Linked DNA regions of Oreochromis niloticus. The protein of the gene in region 1 interacts with the protein of each later gene in a biochemical or structural test. Links are inferred from orthologs where the notes say so. Each region holds a gene or a part of one and is shown on either strand. Other genes may lie near its edges. The genes, in order: msh4, msh5 and mlh3.

Region 1 (7,991 bases):
CACAGTGCTCCCCTCTCAACTGCAGCACAGCTGTCTTAACAGCACCCCCGCCCTCCCCCTGTTCCCCTGCAGGGGTGTGTTTGGGGGGGGCAGCATTGTGTTTCTATAAGCTAGTTGTCCCATTGGGCTTTGCTTCCCTGGCACGGTACCACCTCTTGCGCTCAGATCCAATGAACAATGAGTGCTGCAGATTATTAGCATTGTTGTGTCCCATCTTTCCAGATGAGGATAAAGAGATAGCTGAAAGATAACAAATACAGTGCTTGGTAAGCTGTTTGGTAAGCGAGGTCTGGCCTGCTCCCTCTTGGTGCACCGTAAAGTTCAGTCGGGCTCAGATTGCTATATAAAATGGAGAAGGGTGGGGGGGTCTGTGTGTGTGGATACACCTTTGCGGAATCAGAGGAGTCACTCTTTCATGCAGGCCTTCTTCTATTTTTAATCAGCCCAGTTTGATGTCTATTCTTGAGCCACTCCCTAATAGTTAGTGAGAAAATGAGTCTTCCTTTCTGGAGCAGTGTCTCTTGGCTCCAGGCAGCGTGATGATGGTGACACAAAGGATCCTCTGTGTCACTTGGCTGTGATGCAGCAGAGTTGAGCGCACCACACGGACTGCTGGAGTCAGACTCTCCTCCACCCAGCTGGTATTGGGGGGGGCGGGGGGGGGGGGGGTGCAGAGCAGAGATGCTGCACTGCTACCTCATGTTAAATTGTTTTACAAGAATGCTGATTATGGAATCCATTGCAGGTGTTCACTAGCCCAAGACAATGATCAAGTAATTAAACTTATTTTTAAAAAAACACATAAAAATCCCAGTATGCATTGGATGCTATGGACTTGTGTTCCAAATACAGGTTTTCCACACCATTAAGAGTTATTCTTACTTATAGCACCATCTGTTGGCAGAAAATGCCCCCATTCTGTCTTGATGGTTACCAGAATCCATAGTAATGTGCATGTGTGTCTGATATATATGATAACAGATTACCGAGACACTGCTGCTGCTTCACTGTGGGCTGTCCTCATTTACAGTGGGCCTTCCTATTCCCCTGTTGTGTGAGCCTAATTAGTCATCCACAGGAACAGCACAATTACACCGTTTTAATTATTTTTGGTTAACATTTAAGGAAAACACCAGGGATGGGGAAATATATTCTGAGTTACTTAAGTGGAAGACCCATGGATGGGGTGGGGGAGAAAGTGTTGACACAGAATAATGGCGCTCCCCTTTACCCCTCTAATCTCCTCAGTAACCCTTCTGGGTCCTGTCCCCACCACACTGGGGGACATGGACTTATTACCAGCTGTGAGTCAAATTAATTAGCCGTACGTCTCCCGGCCAAACCAAAGCAGACCTTAACCGCAAGTTAATTCTGACTGTAACAGTCCAGCTGCACAATGTGCAAGTGAGAGTGGCACAGGAGGGCCACGGGGAATGATTATTTTACATGATCTGCTGTAGTTATTTATAGTAACTGTAAATAAAAAATAAAAATGCAATTAATCTCACTTGCTCCTCTCTTCATAGGCATTCTCATCGACCAACATCTATAATCTGATTCAATCCCACCACACCTCTGCCTCTCTTGATCAAATGCTCATTTTAAACATTCACATGTACAGTTAGAAGAGACTGGTTAACTGGTTTGTTAGCTGGAACAGAAATGAATACACATACATTGTTCAATTTTTTTCATGCTTTCAGATTGCTTGATTTTGTGTTGACTCTATACACAAAGCACCTGCACCTGTAGTATTATTAGCCACTTGTCTGCTCTACTAATAACGCCAACTCTTAAATTCAGGGAAATTTATATACAGGGGGCTTTTCTGCTTATTAAAATAGGTAAGCGTTGCATTCATCCAGTGATCATGTTGGACCATTTCATTAATGTGTAATCAAACTTGGATCTATTGTAATATTTCTCTCATATATCAATTTGAGTATTTAGGGGGATCTCATCCTGTCAACTTCAGTATTAACATTTCACTTGGCCTGAGTGTTTGAGGCCAACCTGCTCATTACGCTACAGCTCTACTGTGTAAACAGACAGCAGCATGAAAGGCTGTGAGGGGCCCCTGCATGCCTGTGGGAGTATGGGTCGTACTTCATGGTTTTATGCTTGAAAAGGAGCCATAATCTTCCACCTAATCTGGGGCTTTGAGTGGAATTCCCCTCACATGGACGGCAAAACCTGGCATTGCAGATCCCTGTTGTCCTCCATTTTTAAAGATTGGGGACCCCACATAAAGATATAGATTGAAATTTTTAGTCATGCGTTTGATTTGTTACCCTAACCTCACTTCATATGAAAAGTTAACAAAACTGTCTTCACATCTTAATATTTAATTGTTGAGTGAGCAGCCTGGCTCTTTAAATAATCAGTGCACACAATTAAATCCTTTCCTAAGTTTCAGATTTTAAGCAACTACTTCTCACAAGTGTCTGAATTTACATAATTCACAAGAAGAAAGAAAATCACAAAGAAAACCACTCTAAACACCACTTATCGCTGTCATCAGGTGCTTATTTCTGCATGAGGTTGTCAATATTTTTATGTAAACATGTAATTGTACATATTATCTAATTATTTAGTTACCACTTGCTAAATATTCCAAGTTTAATGATGGGAATGGGAAATACAATGTGAAAATATGTCTGTGCTCAAGAGCAGAAGTCCAATAGGTTTCATGTTTGCAACTTTTGGCAGATGCCTAGGGCGTAAAGGCTTCACTTTCACATCTGCTTAACTGTATTTTGTATAAACAAGACGAACTGCAAAAACCTAGGGGGATGATGCCTCTTGCTCAAACAATGCACTTGTTTCTCAGATCTGTGCTTGCACACGTCTGCCATCTAGCTTCACAGAAACAGAACTACATGGACTGAAAGAGAATTCTACTGAGCAGGAAAAAAATAGTGTCTGTGTGTTGATTTAATCATGTGTGCTCCCGTCAAATAACACACACAGTAATTAACAGCATGCTTCCCTTTAAAAAGTTAAAAAATTTAATATCTTAAACAAGCTCAGTACACTGTTCCAAGTTTCTATGTCACAATCGGAGTCCGATAATCAGGCTTTTCTTCGAATGTGCAGAATGTGGATGTCTGGACTGCTAAATTCTGGGTCTTGTTTCTCTGAAGGAATCTCCTCACAGCAGAAGTTCTGTTGCAACAACTTAAAAAGAAAAGAGAACAGGTCAGATGATAGCTATGACAAATATCTCCACTTAGTTGTGGAAATAAAAACAAATTCTAACCTCAAAAAACTGCCTTTCCACTTCTGGGTTGACACCCTCAGTGCGCTGCTCATAGCAGCAAACAATGCAGGTCTCTGGTCCACAAAGCAGCTTCAAGCTCTCCACCAGTGGAACAATTGACTGTATGGAAATAAGCGATGACTCACAATGAGACATACAACACTTTTTCAGAATGATTGTAATGTTGCAATCTTGTAGGGGATCATAAAGGATTGAAAACTACAGGAAAGTACCTGCTCATAATAGATGCAATCTGCCATAAGGACATAATCTGGGGAAGGCAAGAATTCAGACACATCTTCACCCCTGTAATAATGGAAATAAAATATTAAGCATATGCTGAATGTCCTGCTGAAGTATTACTGCGACATTTATATTAGGAGCATAAGAAAAATAGGAAATGTAAGTACAAACCATTTCAGTACCTTGGCAGTTATGGATCCACTGCTGATAAGCGCTTCGTTTTCTTGGATGTTCACCTTCAACAGTGTCTGTAAATCTTCTAGGTCTGTTACTATTACCTGTGCTCTGCAGGAATTTAAAAATAATAATAATAATAATAAATCACCAATACTGACTCTTCCCAGATGATTACTAAAACATAGTAGTAGTGCAAGGAATGACGTTTAAATATTTTGATATTTAAACATAACACTAAGATCACATGTAAATAAATAACTTACCCTAGCGTTGCTGCCATAAGACCAACTACTCCCGTACCAGCTCCCAACTCTAGCACAGTCCTACCAGACCAAACGTTCACACCTGAAGACGGATCGTAAAACTGCTTTGTCTCTAAATACTTTGCGAGAACAATAGCTGCATCCCACACAACGCAGCCAACATCTCCCAAGAAGCACTGCTTAACTTTTAGGGCACAGCCGTCGTTTCTCTCTATTTCTCTGACAAAATATTCATTCTCGTCTGCCTTAGCCGCCATGTTGGCCAAAACAGAAACAAAAAAAGAACTTCCGGTCTGATATATTTTTCTAAATAAAAGACTTACCTCGCCAAACATTAGGACTGGTGCACAGAGTTGTGCTTGATGCTTTAAAAAAGTTATGTGTTTCTAATATTTAGATTTTTTTTTATTTTAAAAATACAATCATAAACAATGAAAAGTCTATGGATTCACAATAATATAAGATGAGACAAGAAATACTTATCTTTAAATTTTATTAATAACAATAATACATTAAAAATAAAATTTTAATAGCAAAAAATCAAACAGAATTTAAACAGAAGTTGCAAAAAATGTAAAAAATAATAAAATAAAAAAAAAAAAAATTTAATTAAAGACATGAACATGAACGATGATTGGAGGGTCCTTCCACCCTAGCATATTCTAAAATTATTTAAAATTATTTGAAGCGTACCAAGAACCATGGTTTCTTTTAGAGAACGAAGGCTTATACGGATTTCTTTTTTTTATTATTATTATTATTATTTTCTTTTGGCCTCATAATAATAATAATAATAAAAAATGTTTTGTGTCTTCCCGAGTTGAAGTGATTTTTTTTGTACATTTATTCGTTGTTATTATTTTTTTTAAATTCACAATAACTCTTATTAATGACCGAAAAAAGAAAATAATATAAAAAATAGATAAATAAATATTACTACGATTAACTTGTGTAGAGGCTGACGTAGGGAAGCCGTCAGGTGTTCGCGCGCCACTGCAATCAGTGTGGCGGCGGTAATTATGCTTGCTAGCTGAGAGAACTGGCAGCTGAGAGGCAACTTCATATTGTTTGTCGAAGTGTAGTAACTGAATATTACAGGTGTACATCTGAGTCTGTGTTTGTCAGTTGTTCTACCTCTGCATAAGTTTCAAATGTTTGCCAGCAGCACAGAGGAGGTAACTGACGGTTATGCCTCAGCAAGTGAACAGTCGTGGGGTATATTACCTAAGGACAAAAGTGGACAGGACCAAACCTTTTCTTGTGTCACATCAGCTTCATCAAAGCAAAGTTCAAATGAAGGCAGTACGAGCTCCCGCCACGGCCCATCATCTGGAACGGCCTCAGGTGATGTGCTAACATTAGCAACTTTTATTTTGGGGAGAGTGAGATTAGATACTAAAAAACGTGCTAACATTGACATTTCTGTAATGAAATGATCTTTATTTTTTTATTTTTTTTTCATTGATAGCAGTTGGGGCACCCGGCAAAATGTGGCTCTTGGCATGACACAGCAGTAATAATACTGTACTACACCTCTTTTCCTATGTTTCCTATTGCTATAGGTCAATTACCGAGCAGCTTTAGAATAGACAAGCCAGCTTCATTGCTTCTTTCATCTTGTACAGAGAGCTCATCTTTCCACAGCCGTGGAGGAACACCAAGACATAGAAGGACCCCAGGGTCTGCTGGGGCACCTGGTATACATCCTGCACAGACACGAGTTATTGATTACTCTGGTATTAATTAAGCCTTTTTAAAAATAAGGTATTATTATTAACAAAGATCTTTTTATGCAGGAACAAGTTACTCATCTGGATCCACAAACACTGGTGCTTCTGTGATTGTGGTAGTAGTTGAAGGACGCGGCTTAGCCAGAGGAGAGATTGGCATGGCTAGTCTCGATTTGAAATGCCCAGAGCTTGTACTCTCTCAGTTTGCAGATACAGGAACATATGCCAAGGTAAACCACCCATGTCCTACTGTCATTTGGCACTCAAAACAGACTGGGAGACATGGAATTTATATTTCAGTCATGTGTTATTCATCTGAAGGTCATAACCAAGATTCACATCTTGGTCCCAGTGGAAATACTGATGCCAGACACAGCCAGTGAGAAGGGGAAAGGAACAAAGCTGTTCAATCTCATCACTGAGAATTTTCCGGTACAAATGCAACAATAACACACAATTCTTTAAAACAAATTTCCACTTAAAGTAGAGAGTAGCCAACTTGTGCTTCAGTATTCACTGAGTTGCTAAGTGTGTGGTGCAAACTGAATTTTATTGGGTATTTTTTCTTCAGGGTGTACCTTTCACTCCAGTGCAAAGGAAGTATTTTAATGAGAAGAAAGGGCTGGAGTACATTCAGCAGCTGTGTGCCCCAGAATTCAGCACTGTTGTTATGGAAGTTCAAGCTAAGTATGCTATAGATAGATAGAGAGATACTGTAGCCTAATACTTTTGTCATTGCCTAATGTGATAACTTTTTTTTTTTTTTAGGTATTATTGCCTAGCAGCTGCAGCTGCTTTGCTGAAGTATTTAGAGTTCCTCCAGAACTCTGTCTACGTTGCCAAGTCCCTTAAAGTGAGCTTTAAAGGGAGTGAGCAGACAGCCATGATTGACTCAGCATCTGCCTCTAACTTGGAATTGGTGGTTAATAATAGAAACTACAGGTGAGATGGAAAGCGATGATAAGAATGACATCTTTTTATGTAGTTCCTCTGTCATGCAGTCTGACTGTGCCTTCTCTTTTTTCGTTCTAGGAGTGACCATACTCTTTTCGGGGTACTCAACCACACAAAAACACCTGGTGGTGCCAGAAGGTTGCGCTCCAACATTTTGGAGCCTCTAGTTGATGTGGAAACAATCAACACTCGCCTGGACACCATACAAGAGCTGCTGGAAGATGAGGAGCTTTTCTTTGGCTTAAAGAATGGTTGGAAACAGGCACAAAAAGTTTGAATCATTATAAATATTCTGCATACTGAAAATTGGATCATATCTGCATTGACTGTTTGTTCTTCTGGCCCTTTTAGCCATAAGTCACTTCCTTGACATTGACCAGCTGCTCTCAGTTCTCGTCCAAATCCCAAAGAAGGAAACAGTATGTGCAGTACTTTCAGTGCTTGTGACAATATTCTGTTTGTTTACTTCTGTGCATTTGTCACTTTGTCACTACTGTTACTTTTTTTTCTACAGTTTCAAGTTGCTGAAGCAAAGATTACACATATCATTCAGCTGAAATACACACTGGACCTGGTGCCGAGGTTAAGGGTCTGTGCTGCTAACATCCTCAAACAAAATCGCCCAGTAGCCATGGACAGAATAAGAAAACAATTAATTCATTAAAAGCTAAATGTGACTTAGTTATAATGCAAATACTGAGTCTTTTTAAAAGTGTTATACCATTTAAACAGATGCTGCTGAAGAACCGGAACACAGCTCTGCTCAAGGCATATAGTACAACACTTGAAGATAACAGGTTGTAAATTTTGTGCTTATGTACGATGAACTGAATTTGCTAGTTACAATCTCCTGTCTACAGACTCATTCCACTGTATACATTTATGTCTGCCTCAGGTTTGACATGATCCTGGAGCAGATCAAGACTGTGATCAATTATGACACAACTTACCTCAAAGATAGCTTTAAAATGCGCACCCAGAAGTGTTACGCTGTGCGCCCGAACATCAACAAGTTTCTCGACATTGCCCGGAAAGCTTACACTGAGATAGTGGACGACATTGCAGGTGTTAATGCCTAGTGTTTTCCAGATAACTTTGTCTTACGATGTTTAGGTAATCTGTTCTTACCTTTAGCCATGCTTCATGTCATCGTGCTGCACAGAGCTTGTGAACCAGCTGGGGGAAAAATACGGCTTGCCAATGCGTACTAGCTTCAGCACAGCTCGAGGTTTTTTCATCCAGCTGAAGCTTGAAGGACTAACCTTACCAGAAGGGAACCTCCCCTCAGAGTTCATCAAAGTAAGGTCCACTGAAGGCAGCCAGACTTTTAGCAAAAAATATAACTCAGCATTAGTTGTTAATAAA
Region 2 (7,719 bases), on another chromosome or scaffold:
CCGAGAAGCATCACCAAAACACCGGAGCGGTTACGTTACCGAGCGGCGATAAGACGCAGGAGCCTCTTATAAGCTCAGATAGGGAACCAGGCGGAGGGTTCGTGAAGGCAGTCTGCTCATGAGCACCAGAGAAGGAGCCACACCAGCGGGTAAGGCTGATAGAAGTCCCTATCTACACAGTTTGCTTACGGTAGCTCGATGGAGACTTTGTCTTTTTTTTCTTTTTCTTTTAAAAAAATAAATAAATAAATACTGTATTCTTCTAGTTCACTTTGTTCTGCTCCACCTGAACAGGTGGTGTTAAATAAATACACGGGAGTAGGTTTGGCTTTATAGGGGGGGGGGGGGTATCATGAAGAGGTTTGAGGATCCTTCCCCCAAAAGTTTGTGCATCTAAACCCAATCTCCTCAATTCTGGTGAATTTTATTATAGAGCATTTGTATTATGTTTGGAATTTCAGCAATTTTTATGCAAAAAAAACCCTTTTTTAAAAAAAAAAATCACGTTTAATTGGCCACCTTTGTCTGTTACTCAACATTGTATTTGTTTCATTATTACTAAAAATATGCTTTAAGCTATTTAAATGTGTTTAAATACTATATTTACATATAAAAACTGTAACTGTCATAAATAATTATCAAATAATTTCCAACAAGAAATCCAAGCGTATAATGTTGAAATACAGCTTCCTAGTATCCCCTGCTACACCAATGTTCCAATTCCCTATACAAAGTTACCAGGAAAGTAGATTAAAACAGAGAAATTCATGATAGAAACACTAAATTTATCACAACAGCGATGTTATTGGTGTGCGTTGTGCAGGGTTATCTCTACGCTTCGAAGATAAATTCAATTCTTTTTTATTTATCACAGCTCAGATGTGATTTGGCAGGTTTTCTAACACATATATGCATCGCTGTTGTAGGATAAACTTAAGCAATCTTCTCAGCTGTGTAACTGAAACTCAGGATTAGTTAGCAAAAATATTTCTAAAAACCAAACAACACTATCCAGGGGGTCAGAACTTTGTTATTTTCTGGATTATATGTTCTCATATCAAACCACCTCCTCCTTTTATCCTGCTGCAAACTGAGAACACTGTGTGTCTGAAATAATTACGTTTACCACATATTTCATGGTTTTTAAGTTAAATAGACCCACCCTTGATGGAGGCATTTCTCACTGAGTAATGTTATGAGTTCTAAATATACGACACCTTTGCACTTAGACCTATACTCAAGGACCGTACGGTACTTAAGGACACATTTGAACTATTTGTATATTTTCATGCCAAACTGCTTTGGACTTGTACTCCTCTGTCCATCCAGCTTTATTTTCGCAGTTGACATTTTCAACAACAGAAAAATGTTCGCCTTTCTTGTGTCATCCTGTACTTGTCAAGTCTTTGATTCTGTTAGTGATTCAATTTTTTATCATATTTTATTGTGAGTTATTCATCTGCTTTATCTTACTCCTGTCTCATTGTCTTTCATTGTCAGTCCTTGTCTTTGGGTTTGATTTCAGTCCTTGTGGTAATATCTGTTAACCGTACCAGTGTGTTACCTGCCTGTTTTAGATGTCATTTTTGTTCGCTTGTGATGTTTATGTGGATTGACTTTTTGCTTTGCCTTGCCTTTTGGACTTTGTTTCATGGACTAAGGCTCATTATTTGTTTAATCCTGCCTGACTTCTGAGTCTGAATGAGGGTTTTTAACCTCCACACTGTGAATGCTCCCGACCAGCAAACTGCAAAACTTTTGCTTTTATAGAAGTGCTCATGCTTGGTGATGATCAATTAATTAAGTACATTTGATGAGCAGGACCTGGCTGCTACTTACACTCTTAATTTCTATGGAAGCATTAAGCATCCAATTAGTTTTTCAAACTTTCTTTCTCTAATGACTGCATATCTAAGGTTTAATATTAAGTCGCACTTTGTTTTTTTTGTTGTTCTCCATAGTTCACCTCAACACATAGGAGTGACCCTGCCATTTGCACTGATGGGTCTGAGTCTGTCACGTTGGTTTTACAGCAGGACAGCCAACAGGCCTCCCTTTTCGTCATCAGCGTTCCTCCCACTGGCTGTCCCAACCTCCTCTCGCCTTGCGGTTACGCTGAACTCCCCTCCAGTTTCCCCAGGAGACAGTCATTCACATTGGAGCACAGTCCACCGCTCTCTTCACTTCCAGCTGTCCCCCTGCAAACAGGAAGCGACCCGCTCACCCGCTGAGCTTAGCAGCGATGGCGTGAGGGCGGAGATAGGAGTGAAGAGTGGGCTTCATGTCTGGGAGGTGGTGTGGAGGCCTGAACACAGAGGGACTCATGCCGTTGTGGGCATTTCGAGGCAGGACTGTCCCCTGCAGTCTTCAGGGTACAATGTGCTGGTGGGGGCAGACTCACAGTCCTGGGGATGGGAGCTCAAAACCAATCAGCTCTGGCATGGTGGACAAACTCTGAAGCTTTACCCAGAAAATGGGAGTAGGAGGAGGAGTCACTCTGAGGTGGCAGGTGATTCAAAGTCACAGTCCTCGTCTTCATCAAACGCAAAGATGGCACAAACACCTCTCCTCATTCCTGAGCGTGTCCTGCTGGTTCTGGATGCCGATGCCGGGACTCTGGGGTTTGTTGTCAATGGCAGCTTCCTTGGCGTAGCTTTTAAGGACCTCCCTCGAGATGTGGAGCTGTTCCCAGCAGTGAGCAGTGTGAGAGGAGGAGCCTGCATTCGACTGCGCTACCTGAATGGTTCTACACGTGAGTGCCTCATTTATTTATTTGTCTTTGTACGAAGAAATATAAAGATAAAACACAGCCTTATACTAAACTATGTTGTTTCTGGCTTGTTCTCAGGAGATCCTCCAACCCTCATGGCTTTATGCGTACTGTCGATTCGTCAGAATTTAGGACAGAAGAGGTTAAAACATACGGACAATTTGCCTCTACCCCCTTTTCTCCAGCGCTGTCTGGCTCCCAGTCATTAATCTTCCATGCAAACGGACAAGATGGATACTTTTGTCAGTTACTGCAGTTTACCTAGGATCCATGCCCTTTTCTATGAAATACTGATGTAAATTCTGTAAATCTTACATTATATGCACAAGTATAATTATTTTTATCTTATTTACTACAAATGTGTATGTTTATAGATGTTTTGTAATATTTTTTAAAAGAAATTTGGGGGATTTAGGGGCAGTTCTGTTTGGTACAGGTCTGGTTTCTTCTTTTGTGCATCTAATAAATGAGCTGTTACAAGTGATTTTTATACTTTTCCTGTCCTTTCACAAACCACAAGGATGGCTTAGCAGAGGTATAGAGGGTTTTGACAATACAGCTTACATCCAATAAGGATTATAAAATTATTTGTATGAAAATACTGATGTAATGTTTTCAACCAGCATAAGAAGCCAAGTACAGTGGCAGGATAGATATATATTTACATTTGTCTCATATACAGGTGTACTCATATTATTCCTGCATACTGGTACATGCCCATGCTTCCAAACATTTGTTTGTAGTTGTACTTTAGGTTATATTGTTACATTAGCAATAGTACATCCTCTTTAATTCTAAGGCTTTATCAATCAGGACATACCAGGTTCTAATATATTTTAAATACAACTTTAAAAACAACAGCACATAATATTTTATATCACGTCATTACGTAACAAAAACTAGACCACAATGTAGAAGCAGTGTGTGAAAAACTAAGCACAGCCCACGATTCCATTGCTTATAAAACCACCTTTAGCAGCAATAACTTGAAGTAGCGGTTTTCTATATTACTTCATCAGTCTCTCGCATCATTCTGGATGAATTTGGGAACTTACAGCATTGCATCACAGCTCAAGCTCCCCTAAGGTCCCAGCACAGCATCTGAATCAGGTTTTTTGATCTGATCTTGGGGTTAATTTCCTGGGACATCAAGTCCTGTGACGATTGGCAACTATTTTCAGTGTTTTCCATTTGTGAATAATCTTCCTCACTGTAGAATAATGGAGTTTAGATTGTTTGGAAATTACCTTATAACCCGCCCCACAGTTACTTCTTTAAGATGATTGCTGATGTTTTTCCTCCTTGACATTGTGTTAACACACACTGTAATGATCCAGGCCAAGAAACTGCCAAAAAAATTAAGCGCTCTCACACTTACTGATGATCAGTTAATCAGTCACCTGGCTGCTTTGTAATTATTTTTTCACACACTTCTTTATTTTGGCTTCGTTTTTGTTAAATAAATAATCAAACAGTGTAATATGTTGTGTTGTTGCTCACCTGCTAAGAACCAGATGCTCACTCTGCAGGTGGCAGACAAACAACTAGAAGTTTGCTAATTCTGCTGATCGATGCTTGAATGCAGGACATTTTTAAATCCTTAGTATCATACAGACACCTCCTCTCCATCGACGTAATACACAAGAATGTCGTGTTTGGAGTCCTACCAGGAGTGTATGCAGTAATACCATCAGCTGTACACTCCAACCATCAACCACCACACACCTATGCTACAGAGAGACAGATAGCTAGACACACATCTAGCATAACAAGTAGATGAGCTTTGATTATAATTCGAGGGATAAAACAAAATAAATAAATGTGAACCGCCCTAAACTGTACTTTTAACAAAGGGCTAAATGAAAAAAACCAAACAACGTTTCATAGGTTGAAAGAGCTTTCTGAACTGATTAATTGTACAGAACTAATAGCGAGAGAGAGAGAGAAATGTGGTTGTTATGGCAACCGGGAAGGCGCCTTTGAGCACTTGAAGGTGAGTTTGTGGAAAACAAGCACTGTTAAAGCTTGTTAAAGTTATTTTATCAGCCTCATTTCTGTTATAAGCTGGACTCTGCAAGTTATATAAAATATTTATTGACGTGGCATTTATTGAAGTGGCAGTACTCTAAAACAGAAATTTAATTATATAGCCGGTTTCTAAATAAGAATATAAGTAAGTTATAGTTAACTTAAACGAGCTAGCTTACATCGTTAGCCCAATAAGCTAACTGGAGCTACAATAATTTCAATTATTATCATAATAATGTCTGTAATATCAATTCCATATTTTGTTTTTATCTTTAAAGGACCCCATAGCGAGTTTCCAAAAATAATTTTTGTCTGACTTGCAGTTTAGCTGTTTTAAGAAGCCATGGTGTTCTTTAAGCATCAGTAGTAGTAAGCTATTTTCAGTGAAAAAGCTCTAAAAACCCACATTATACTCCCTGCCCAGCACTAAAGTGCAAGGCAGACAGCCTTGGACAGCCTGTTAATGAGAGTGGCTCATTTAGCAGTTAAATGGCTCCATATTTCCCTAAGGAGGCAGAAAAGACAGAGGAGAAGAAGAAAAAACATAAAACATAATGAATATTGGATTTATCGGGTGACTCCAAATTACTTTAATCTGAGTTGTCCTTGTAGAATTAATTATTCATGGCAGCAGTTCTGGATAACCTCAGAGAAGGAGGTGTGGTTTTTGGACCTTCTGGCATTAGTTTTGATGAAGAAGATGAGGAGGACTCTCCTGCAGTAAGCGCTGATTTTCACATTCACCAGCAGCACTCATTTAATGTTATATGGGAGTTATATGAGAGTTTGAGGGCAGTCAAACTTACATGTTTGCATGTCTGTTTTCCAGGTTTTACTGAGTGTTTTGGTCCAGCATGGGCAGGTGGGTCTCTGCTTCTATGACAGTCAGGACTCATCTTTACACTACATGCCGGACACGCCTGACAACCAAGAGCTCCACCTACTGGTCAGAGGTAAGCAATGCACCTGTATGAGGCAGGTATTGTAGAATGGATACACTTATCTCCACACAATAGTAAATTGTAAAACCCTCAGGGAGACTTACAGTATGTGTTAAAACAACACTTGTGTTGCCATAAAATCTCTTTTTTTCTTTGTTTTGCAGTCATTCAGGAGGTTAGTCCCCATGTAATTATCACCAGTGCAAAGCAGGAGCGCTCCATGACTCGCTTTTTGCAACAGCTAGGTGAGCTTTGGGAGATGATACTTATCTTACCATGAAAGAGGGAAAACAGAAAGACCTTTTAGACAGTTTCCTTTAGACGTGGTGTAGTACATGTAGTCTGGGTCAGAGGAATGAGGTTGAAGTATGTCTGACACTGAAACCAGCCTGTGTGGTAAGTCAGTGGTGCAGTTTTTAAACATCCTGTTCCCGGGGTGGCTGTGGCTCTACTAATTGGAAGGTCGTGGTTTGATCCCTGGCTCCTTAAGTATGCATGTCGAAGTATCCTTGGGCAAGACACCGAACCCATTACAATGTGAGTGTTGTGAGGCTTGCACTAAGAAAATACTTTGAGTGCTCAAATAAAGTAAAAAAGTGCTATATAAGTGCCAGCCATAACCAAAGTACCCCAAATGGCAAGCCAAACTTTCAAAGCACACTTGTATTCATATCTGTGGTAAACAGCCTCCATGTCATCTTTTGAATATTCTGTAAGAGGAAGGTATTTTTAATAACATATTTTTACAGTCACAACCTAGTACAACAGCTATTTTACATTCTTCTGTGGTTTACGCCACAGAAGAATGGATCCCCATCCCCAACAAATGTTATCCTGCTCTCTGTTAGTCAGACTCTTTGAAGTCTGCTAATGTAGTCGCACTGATGAAATTGCTTCTCAAAAAGAGGTCATCATGGTGAACAGAACAAAACCCAAAAATGTTTTCAGCAACCCAGATTTTCATTACTTCTTATTCCCGATAAACAAAAAGTATTCATCTATTTTCTGCTTGCAAAAATATAAACAAAACCAAGTGATTGGATTGATTCAGATCTAACAGCAAAAGCTGTCTAAAGTGAACCTTTTGATTAAATGACCTGAGTCAAATTAGTAGCCCCACTGCTCACCCTAGTGGTGAGTTTATCAAATAAATCTGCAATATGGCTTTTAGAATAGAAAATGTAAGTTTAATTCATTACCTTTACAGTTCTAATAATAAAGTCTGGTTGACATAAAATTCCCAGTCACAACATTTTTGAACTACTGATTAGTGTAATGTTTTATGTAGCCCTTACTGTGTTCACTAAAGTGACAACATTTTTTCTCTGTTGCTTCTCAGGTTCAAACCCACACTACAGACCAGAGGTGGTCACGTATCCATATGTTGACTTTGGTAAACACATTCTTGTAATACTCTCTTCCGCAATCATTTAGAAGAAATCTAGCATGAAATTGCACAGTTTTCCAGCTTCATTTTGTATCAATGTTGAAGGTCTGGAGGTCAGTAAGCAAAGGTTGCTCTCTGCCCATCTGCCTTTCCTCCCCGCCTGCATTTCCGAGAGAGACAAACTGTCCTACCTCTCCTCCTGTATCTCCTTTGACTCGTCCCTGATGGTGAGCCAGCTGTCTACATACAACATTATCCTATCCATCAGTCATGGTTCTGCAGGAGATGATCATTTTCGTGTGTGTGTGTGTGTGTACATCTGTGGGATAGCTGAGGGCAGTGGGTGCCCTGCTGAAATGTCTGGACAGGAGGAGAGTGGGAGTGGAGTTGGAAGACAGCAGTGTTGGAGTACCCATCCTGCAGTTTCACGCCTACACACTGTGAGACTTGCATAAATGTAGCACTCACACACACGCACACACAGAGAACTGTGATTACACATTATAATGAGAACCCTGAAACCATTTTTTCAGCGAAGTGCGAAATTTCATTGGCCTGTTTTTAGTCGGTCAGACGTGCTGCAGAAGCATGAA
Region 3 (7,562 bases), about 600 kb from region 1:
AATCTTTCACTCACAAACTTTCTGTTGCAGATTTTGCAAGGAAAAAGCTGGAGGCTGACTTCTGTGCTCTCCTTGAGCACGAGCTCTCCCCGGTGTGGTCCACTCCATTGTGAAGGTCTAGATGGAAGAGTTGAATCCCAGAGCTGATTTCCTCCTGCCCCTCTGTGGTTTCCTGTATAAGGAGTTTTCTGCAGACTCTCCTGAGGCACATCACTGTACTTTATTTTTTCTATTTCTCCACCAGTACCATAATCTGTCCCACCTCCTCGTTTTCCTCTGGTATGCTCTTTCACATTATGCCATCTTGATTTGTTCAGTTCTCCATTCACTTCTTGTTTGCTAGATATGACCTTATAAGTGCCTTTATTTCCTTTTCTGTTAGGCTGAATAGTTTCTGAATCGTCCTGGTGTTCTTCCTTCGTAGTCCTCATTCTGTCCTCAGTCCTCTGATCTTGTTTGTGCCTAACTTGCTTAAAATCATCATACCTTCTATCCTCCATCACTTTATCTCTGCCTTGAGCTAGCTCTCTAAACTGGAGCTCAGACATTCTGGTATTTGTTTGAGTTTTTTGCACCTGAGCTCGTCCTCTGCTGTGTCCCTCCTCCCTACTTGTTTTCTCATTACCTCCAGCATAGTCAGCGCTGGCCCTCTGGAGCTTTTGTCTTATTTTTAATTCAACTTTCAAGAGCTTCTCCTGCAGCATGAGCTGTTTTGCATGGATTGCTTTGGTCAACTGCAGCTCTTCACTGGGCAGTCTGTCTGACAGTGAGGCTACGGTGGTCTCTGTGATGCCATGTGAATGATGCTCCTGGGGTAACAAAGGGGCTACTGGTTGAGTAGAAACTGTGATGTTTTCAAAATCATCCAAATCTAGTGAAACTTGTGGCCTGCTAGGTCTTCTATGGCTCACAGGCTTGTTTGGGAATGGATGATTTACTGCATCTGCTTTCCTATTAGGCACGCTACGTCTTTCCCCTGCAAAGTTGTGGTGCCCCTGAGGAGTGTCTCTTCTTCTATGTGTGTTCATGACTTCATCTGTTGTTACAGATCATAAGCTGTTGTTCCACAGATTCAAAGATACCTGAATCCACCATATGGGGTCCTTTTATTGTATAATTTCTGTGCAAAAAGCAAGCAGAAAAGGGAAAGGGTAAAGCTTGCACAATATCATAACCCCAGTTCTAAAAAAGTTGATGTATAAAAGCTAATTTAAAAACAGGATGTAGTAAATATCTGCAAATCTCATTAACCCACATTTTATTCACAACAGATCATAGAAAGCATATGACATGTTTGAACTGAGATAATTTTATCAAACAGCAGTTTTACTGTTTCATAAAAAAATATGAAACAGTAAAAAAATAACAAAAAGTCGAAAAAGTAAGTGGTACCAAAAAGAAATTATTGAAAAACATTTTTTAGTTCATTAGATTTATCTGCAAAAGCTCAGTAACACCACTGGGTATAAAAAGATTTTAGAGAGACAGACTTTCTCAGAAGTAGTGGTGGGCAGATGTTCACCAATCTGCAAAGAATTTGTGTCTGCAATTGAAAACGCTGAATATCACATCATATACAGTACATAATATCATCAAAAGATGCAGAGAATCTGGAGAAAATCTGGAGAAAAAAATAGAGTGACCATTACGCTTGTTATCAGTTCCAAATCTTAAAGGCCTTCAGCTCTGATGGTATGGGGGTGCATTTATGCCTATGCAATTGGCAGCTTGCACATTTGAAAATGCTCCATGCTCAACGCTGAAAGGTACATACAAGCTTTATAGCAATGTATGCTTCTCCAGATGATTCTTTTGGAGAGAAGGCCTTGCATATTTTCAAAAGATGATGCTCAACCATATACTGCATCTATTACAGAAGCACTGCATCCACGAGCTGCCAAACTGGTCTGCCTGCAGCTTGGACCTTTCACCAAATGAAAATATTTAGCACATCATGAAATGAAAAATATGACAAATGAGACCAGGACAGCTAAGCACCTTGAATCTTAAACAAGTGAAAAATGGGATGACGGCCTGCCTCTCCCAAAACTTCAGCAGCTCTAAAGAAATGTTTCGGCCATCACCTCTATTAAATTTTTCTTTTAGTCTAGGACTAGGTTTAATCCATGCGTGTGAAACAAGCTATAAATGCAGAAAAAAAAAAACCTCAAGCACAAAGGTAACGTACTGCTTTAAAAATATCTGTGCTACAGTTCAATTTATCAACAGATATTTAGGCTTAATTTGGCGTATGGTGAGATGGTCAAATGCTTCACAAAGAAGCAAGCATGTTCATTTATTTATTTTTATTAACGTTTTTTATAATGGCTTAAAATAGTTTTTGTTAACTTTTTAATAACAGAGACCATAAATGTGCGGGCGGCTAATAATTAAAAAAAAAATACCGATATGTTTATGTCTTTGTCTCCAATAACATTTGTTAGATAAATAATTGAATCCAGTTTCAGAAAATTCTCATAAATATAATCTGCTATCTACTTACCAGCATACCAATGTATATTTTCCTAAAAATCCTGTCCTTCCAGTGTTTACATTTGTTGCCTAGATACAACGCTTCTCGGTTGTTTTCTGATTGGTCCGGTAAACAAACACCACTTCCTGTAATCCTCTGTTCCAGCCCAGTAGGTGGCGATAATGCAATTAGGAACTCAAAGAAGGAGACGAAGAAGAAGTGGCGTGTCGTATGTTTTGAATTTGCTGTAATTCGGAACTGGGTCGGCGTTTCACGGCTTCTGGATAAAATTCAGGTAAATTAAATGGCAGCGGGTTTTTGCGCAGTAAAGTAGCAGTAATACGAAGCTAGGTGTGCTATGTATTATTTATGTTGGCATAGCTTCAGTCACCTGTGATCACAAATCACCTTTAAGCATTAAAGGACTGCCTAAATTTCTTCTTTTTTTTTAAGATCCATTATGTCCGATGAAGACCTAATTTCAGTGGATTATGAGATTTTTGGCAGAGTGCAAGGTGTATTTTTTCGGAAATACACGCAGGTAGGTTTGACATTGTCCCATGATTGCGTTTTTTTAGGGGTGGTCTCATTGATGCTGAATATTACAACTACCATTTTAAATATTTCTAGTCGATATTTATCCAATAGTGCCATGTTCTTACTATTATGACATCTCTTTTGCCCTCCACGACCTCCATAATAATAATGATAACGATAATAATAATCCCTTTTGGGTTTTTTTTTTTTTTCTTTCAGGCAGAAGGGAAGAAACTTGGCCTTGTTGGCTGGGTCCAAAACACACCAGCAGGAACAGTGCAAGGGCAGCTACAAGGCCCACGCAAAAAGGTGAAGGAAATGCAAGAATGGCTGAGATCCACTGGGAGCCCCAAGTCACACATAACCAAGGCAGAGTTCAAGAATGAGAAAGAAGTTGACAGCCTAGAACATTCATCTTTCAACGTAGTAAAATAACTGTGCCTTTAATATTAACTTATGCAGATGTTTTATTTATTTAGTCTTTTTTGTTTTTACTGGTTGGAATTTAACATTTAAACTGAATGGGAGGAAGAGGTGTACTGCATATGTTTGATCTCCTAAATGTTCACAGAATATGTAACAACAATAATAAATGGGAACTTCCTTCATCAGGACTCACATTGTCTGATTTTATTGCAATAACAGCAGTAAAGGAATATTTAACTCAGTCAGCTTTAACATGCCTGGTTGTGAAGGACCTATGCTCTGCATTTAAAGTGGTTAGTGGAGGTGGCTACATTGTTCAAAATTTTTATTTATTTTTTTAGAAATCTTTAACAAAATTATATTTGTTCTCATGGTCATGCAAACAGGCACATGTGTGTGCTTGCCTATTTTCAAAAGAAAGCTGTAATAACACCTTTTCAGGGTTCATCAAAAGCTTTTAAAGACTATTTACGCATAAGGTGACATAACTATTTTGCTAAATTATCAAGATACTGATACAAGCTCAGTTATTCCAAGGACAAACACCCTGATATTGTTCGGTCTTCTGGTTTAAGATAACAGTTAAACGCCACACATACCAATAAAGTGGTAGGTCAGCAAATATTTTGACTTCATGTTGGTATAAAAAACACAGGTGTATCTGATGTGTTTGTGCAGACTTACTGGCACACCTGTACACATACTGGCTATTTAAAGTTATTAATAAAACATGTTTTTCCACTGTAACTTGATGTATTGAGACATGTTAGGATGATGTTGCAGGCCTGACCACTCTTGCTTATGAGTTTTATCCATATCGAGGCATACAGTGGGCAAGCTAACTGAGGGAGATGTGACTGAAATTGTTTTGTTGACTTCTTAACTGCAGAAAGGAAAACTGACTGGGTGTATAAGCACATTGAACAGCACACTCCGTACAGGAGGTGGCGGTATGCAGTAAAAGCAGGTCTTCCATAGGCTAACTTACGAAAGAAGATGTCTGGTGAACATGGCACATTCAAGTCAACGCGGAGATCGAAACTTTCCAGTAAAGCTCCGAATTCCCAGATACAAAGACGCAAGTGTAAACAATCGAAAGGGGTGACTATGACAAACTGTAGACATTAATATTAGCATCGTATATAGCTGAAGTCATTTTAACGAATTGATGAAACGATGGAAAAAAGGAAACTGATTACGTACCGATGGAAGTTTCCGAGTCGACGCGAACGCAGCAGTAAATTCAACCACACCAGAAGATGGCAGTATTATAATGTTAGCCAGTTTTAAGCGGTTACAGGCCTGTGTTTTTGTTTCACGTTGACTGTACACAACAGCTGAGGTATTTGAGGGCATGGTTTTATTATGCTAAATATTTTTATCATATTTAATGAAATATGAAAGAGGGTTTTACTTCAAAATGTATCGCTGTCAAAAAGTCTCCTTTGGAATTAGCTAGCATTAACTACTTAGCAACGATTAACTAACTAATTACTTTGCGGTCGCCGGTACAGGTGATAGACCAAAGATACAAAGAGAACTGAATTTAATGCCCATTATGATTAAGTGTTTACCCAAAGAGGTTCAGGGGAAGCTTCGCTCCGGTGTCGCTATCCCCTCGCTTCAGCAGTGTGTGGAGGAGCTGATTTTAAACAGCATCGATGCCGGGGCGACCTGTGTGGGAGTCCGAATGGACATGGAGGCATTTAAAATTCAGGTGATCGATAACGGTGCTGGGATGAGCGCCGAGGACATGGACTGTGTTGGGAATAGATACCACACAAGTAAATGCACTTCTGTGGCAGACCTGGACAACCTCAGGTGGTATGGTTTCAGAGGGGAAGCCTTGGCGAGTTTAGTTTCTTTAGCCACACTTGTTGAAATCTCCTCCCGGACCAGATCATCTGTAAAAACACACGTTAAAATATTCAAGGAGGGGAAGGGCTTGGAGGTCTTTGAAGCAGAGGCTGCTCGACCCTCTGCGGGGACAACTGTCATCATTTGTAACTTCTTCCACAACATGCCTGTCCGAAGGAAGAGGGTTGATGCCGTCCTGGAGGGTGAGAGGATCAGGCACAGAGTGGGAGCTATTTCCCTGATGCACCCCTCTGTTTCCTTCACCCTGAAGAATGACTGCACAGGAGCCATGATGGTGCAGCTCCCGAAAGCAAGAAACACTTATCACAGGTTTGTTCAGATACACAATCTCGGGCAAGCAGAGAAGCTGGGAGAAATGAACCACACATACAAACAGTTTGAAGTGATGGGTTACATTGGCAGAGAGGGGCACTACAACAACAGCTTACAGTTCTTGTATGTGAATGAAAGACTGCTGTTGAAAACACATATTCACAAGCTGCTGAACGTTCTCCTGCGCCGACTGACCAGTTCCAACCAGAAGAATGACAGTCCAGATTGGCAGTCTGTCTTCAGAAGTCCAAAGCACAAGCGAAGCCAAGATCTGTATGGAGTGTATATCATCAATATTAAATGCTCTTACTCGGAGTATGATATTTCCCTCGAGCCTGCCAAAACTCTAATAGAGTTTAAAGACTGGGATGGCATTTTGCTCTGTGTTGAAGAAGCAGTGAAAGCTTTCCTGAGCAGGGAGAACTTGGTGGCTGTCATTACTCAAGATGACTTGGACTATGCATCTCCAAGAGTGTTTGGAACTGACAAAACAGAACCAGAAGAGAATGGTGACAAAGGTGGCCAAACAGCTATCAGTATTTCTACAATGGACTGTAGTGTTGGCACGAGACTGGCATCTGAATCTGTTCATCGTAATCACACAGGTGACAGTGTTTCTAAAGATGGTGTTTGCCTGGAGGCTAGATTGGATAAAAGTGAACAACCAGGCCAGAAAAAGATAAGTACAAATGAGTTCCAAAATGTACACAGTGAAAAAGGTTTAAACAATGAATGTAGCAATGAGCTGATGTCTGATCTGGCTACAGTGGAACCTTTACCTTATAAAATTAATAAAGAAGTGGAACCCGCATATAGTGAAGCTGGGGAAGGTTCTAATATTTTGCATATTTCAAGAGAGCTACTTTTAAAAGAAGGAGATGACAGCCTCATTCAACAAGCCCAGCCTGCTTTAAAGTACACTGAGAGAATAGTACCTGACTGTCAGGACACAAGTTGCCATGCACAGACTTTAGTAAGTAAGAGAAAGATCAGATTGTGCGATCAATACGTTCAAGAGAGTCTGCAGACTCAGGACCTTTTGCAAAACAATAGGCCAGTATTTCAGGAGGAAAGTTTAACAGCAAAATCTGAAGAAAAAGCTTCTGTTGCAAAACGCAAAATCTCATTAGACACAAGCAGATCTTCTCAGAAACAATGCAGAGACTCTTCCTCTGTTGTCCCCTCAAAGATTTCCAAGATAATTTCATGCCATAAATTGTCTGGATCTCTTGACAAGTTTCGACGAACATGTGTTAAATCTGGTGATCTCGAATCACAGTTACCCAAGGCTCATTTGAAGACCGACACTCCTCAGACAGACCACGTTTTTTTGAATGCATCAATTTACCAGGGAGCTCAACAAGAAAATAAGATGCAGGACAAAGATGACGCACAGAACAGCCTCCAAAGCCCGCCAACTCTCTCTGTTTTCACTAAGATAAAACCAGAATCAGCACAGAACCAAGGTAAAAAATCTTTGGCAGCTAAACTCCGTCATTTGAAACAACATGGGACAGATGATTCAGAGGTGTCATTGGATTTTTCCAGAAACGTCTCAAAGGATACTATCTGTGTCAGTACTGGAATTGACAGTAACCAAGATAGCAATGAGATTCCCTGTGACCCTGAGTTCAATATGAGGCCAGCCTTAGGATGCATTTTAAACCCTGAACTTGCTATGAATGAAGAGGATGCCACATCGAGCGACTGGCTCCAACACTACGACGCATCTGTCGGAAAGACGGTTTATGTGAACAGAGTGACCGGGCTCAGCAGATATGAGGACCCAGCTATGGAGGAAACTCAAGTGCGCTGCACGTCTGATGTCACCAATATAGCAGTTAGTGTCATTTCTGAAATGGGTAAGTAAGCACACAAAATTGCAGATATGCACATTAATACAGATAATTTGTTTTCTGTTTTAATGCATGCCGTC

The links.
Region 2: the proteins of msh4 (region 1) and msh5 form a complex in vitro, tested with the Homo sapiens proteins (2 studies listed by BioGRID). The link is inferred for Oreochromis niloticus from reciprocal best matches to the Homo sapiens genes MSH4 and MSH5.
Region 3: the proteins of msh4 (region 1) and mlh3 form a complex in vitro, tested with the Homo sapiens proteins (2 studies listed by BioGRID). The link is inferred for Oreochromis niloticus from reciprocal best matches to the Homo sapiens genes MSH4 and MLH3.

The regions. Positions count from the first base shown.
Region 1 is NC_031983.2:11,113,946-11,121,936, reverse strand, and holds the start of msh4 (mutS protein homolog 4), read left to right. Parts: upstream 1-4,893; 5' UTR 4,894-5,093; coding exon 5,094-5,286; intron 5,287-5,504; coding exon 5,505-5,639; intron 5,640-5,738; coding exon 5,739-5,902; intron 5,903-5,993; coding exon 5,994-6,104; intron 6,105-6,243; coding exon 6,244-6,359; intron 6,360-6,440; coding exon 6,441-6,614; intron 6,615-6,704; coding exon 6,705-6,877; intron 6,878-6,977; coding exon 6,978-7,045; intron 7,046-7,140; coding exon 7,141-7,215; intron 7,216-7,358; coding exon 7,359-7,423; intron 7,424-7,521; coding exon 7,522-7,691; intron 7,692-7,788; coding exon 7,789-7,925; intron 7,926-7,991. Other genes in the region: vcpkmt (protein N-lysine methyltransferase METTL21D), read right to left, coding at 3,073-3,177, 3,260-3,379, 3,493-3,565, 3,674-3,787, 3,943-4,199. UniProt on the Homo sapiens protein: Involved in meiotic recombination. Required for reciprocal recombination and proper segregation of homologous chromosomes at meiosis.
Region 2 is NC_031976.2:20,190,335-20,198,053, reverse strand, and holds the start of msh5 (mutS protein homolog 5), read left to right. Parts: upstream 1-4,650; 5' UTR 4,651-4,763; intron 4,764-4,873; exon of another isoform or gene 4,874-5,410; 5' UTR 5,411-5,422; coding exon 5,423-5,518; intron 5,519-5,627; coding exon 5,628-5,751; intron 5,752-5,903; coding exon 5,904-5,984; intron 5,985-7,078; coding exon 7,079-7,132; intron 7,133-7,231; coding exon 7,232-7,353; intron 7,354-7,456; coding exon 7,457-7,566; intron 7,567-7,719. Other genes in the region: SPRY domain-containing SOCS box protein 1, read left to right, coding at 2,002-2,752, 2,849-2,979.
Region 3 is NC_031983.2:10,517,806-10,525,367, reverse strand, and holds the start of mlh3 (DNA mismatch repair protein Mlh3), read left to right. Parts: upstream 1-4,496; 5' UTR 4,497-4,985; coding exon 4,986-7,488; intron 7,489-7,562. Other genes in the region: zinc finger C2HC domain-containing protein 1C, read right to left, coding at 1-1,028; acyp1 (acylphosphatase-1), read left to right, coding at 2,934-3,014, 3,230-3,445. UniProt on the Homo sapiens protein: Probably involved in the repair of mismatches in DNA.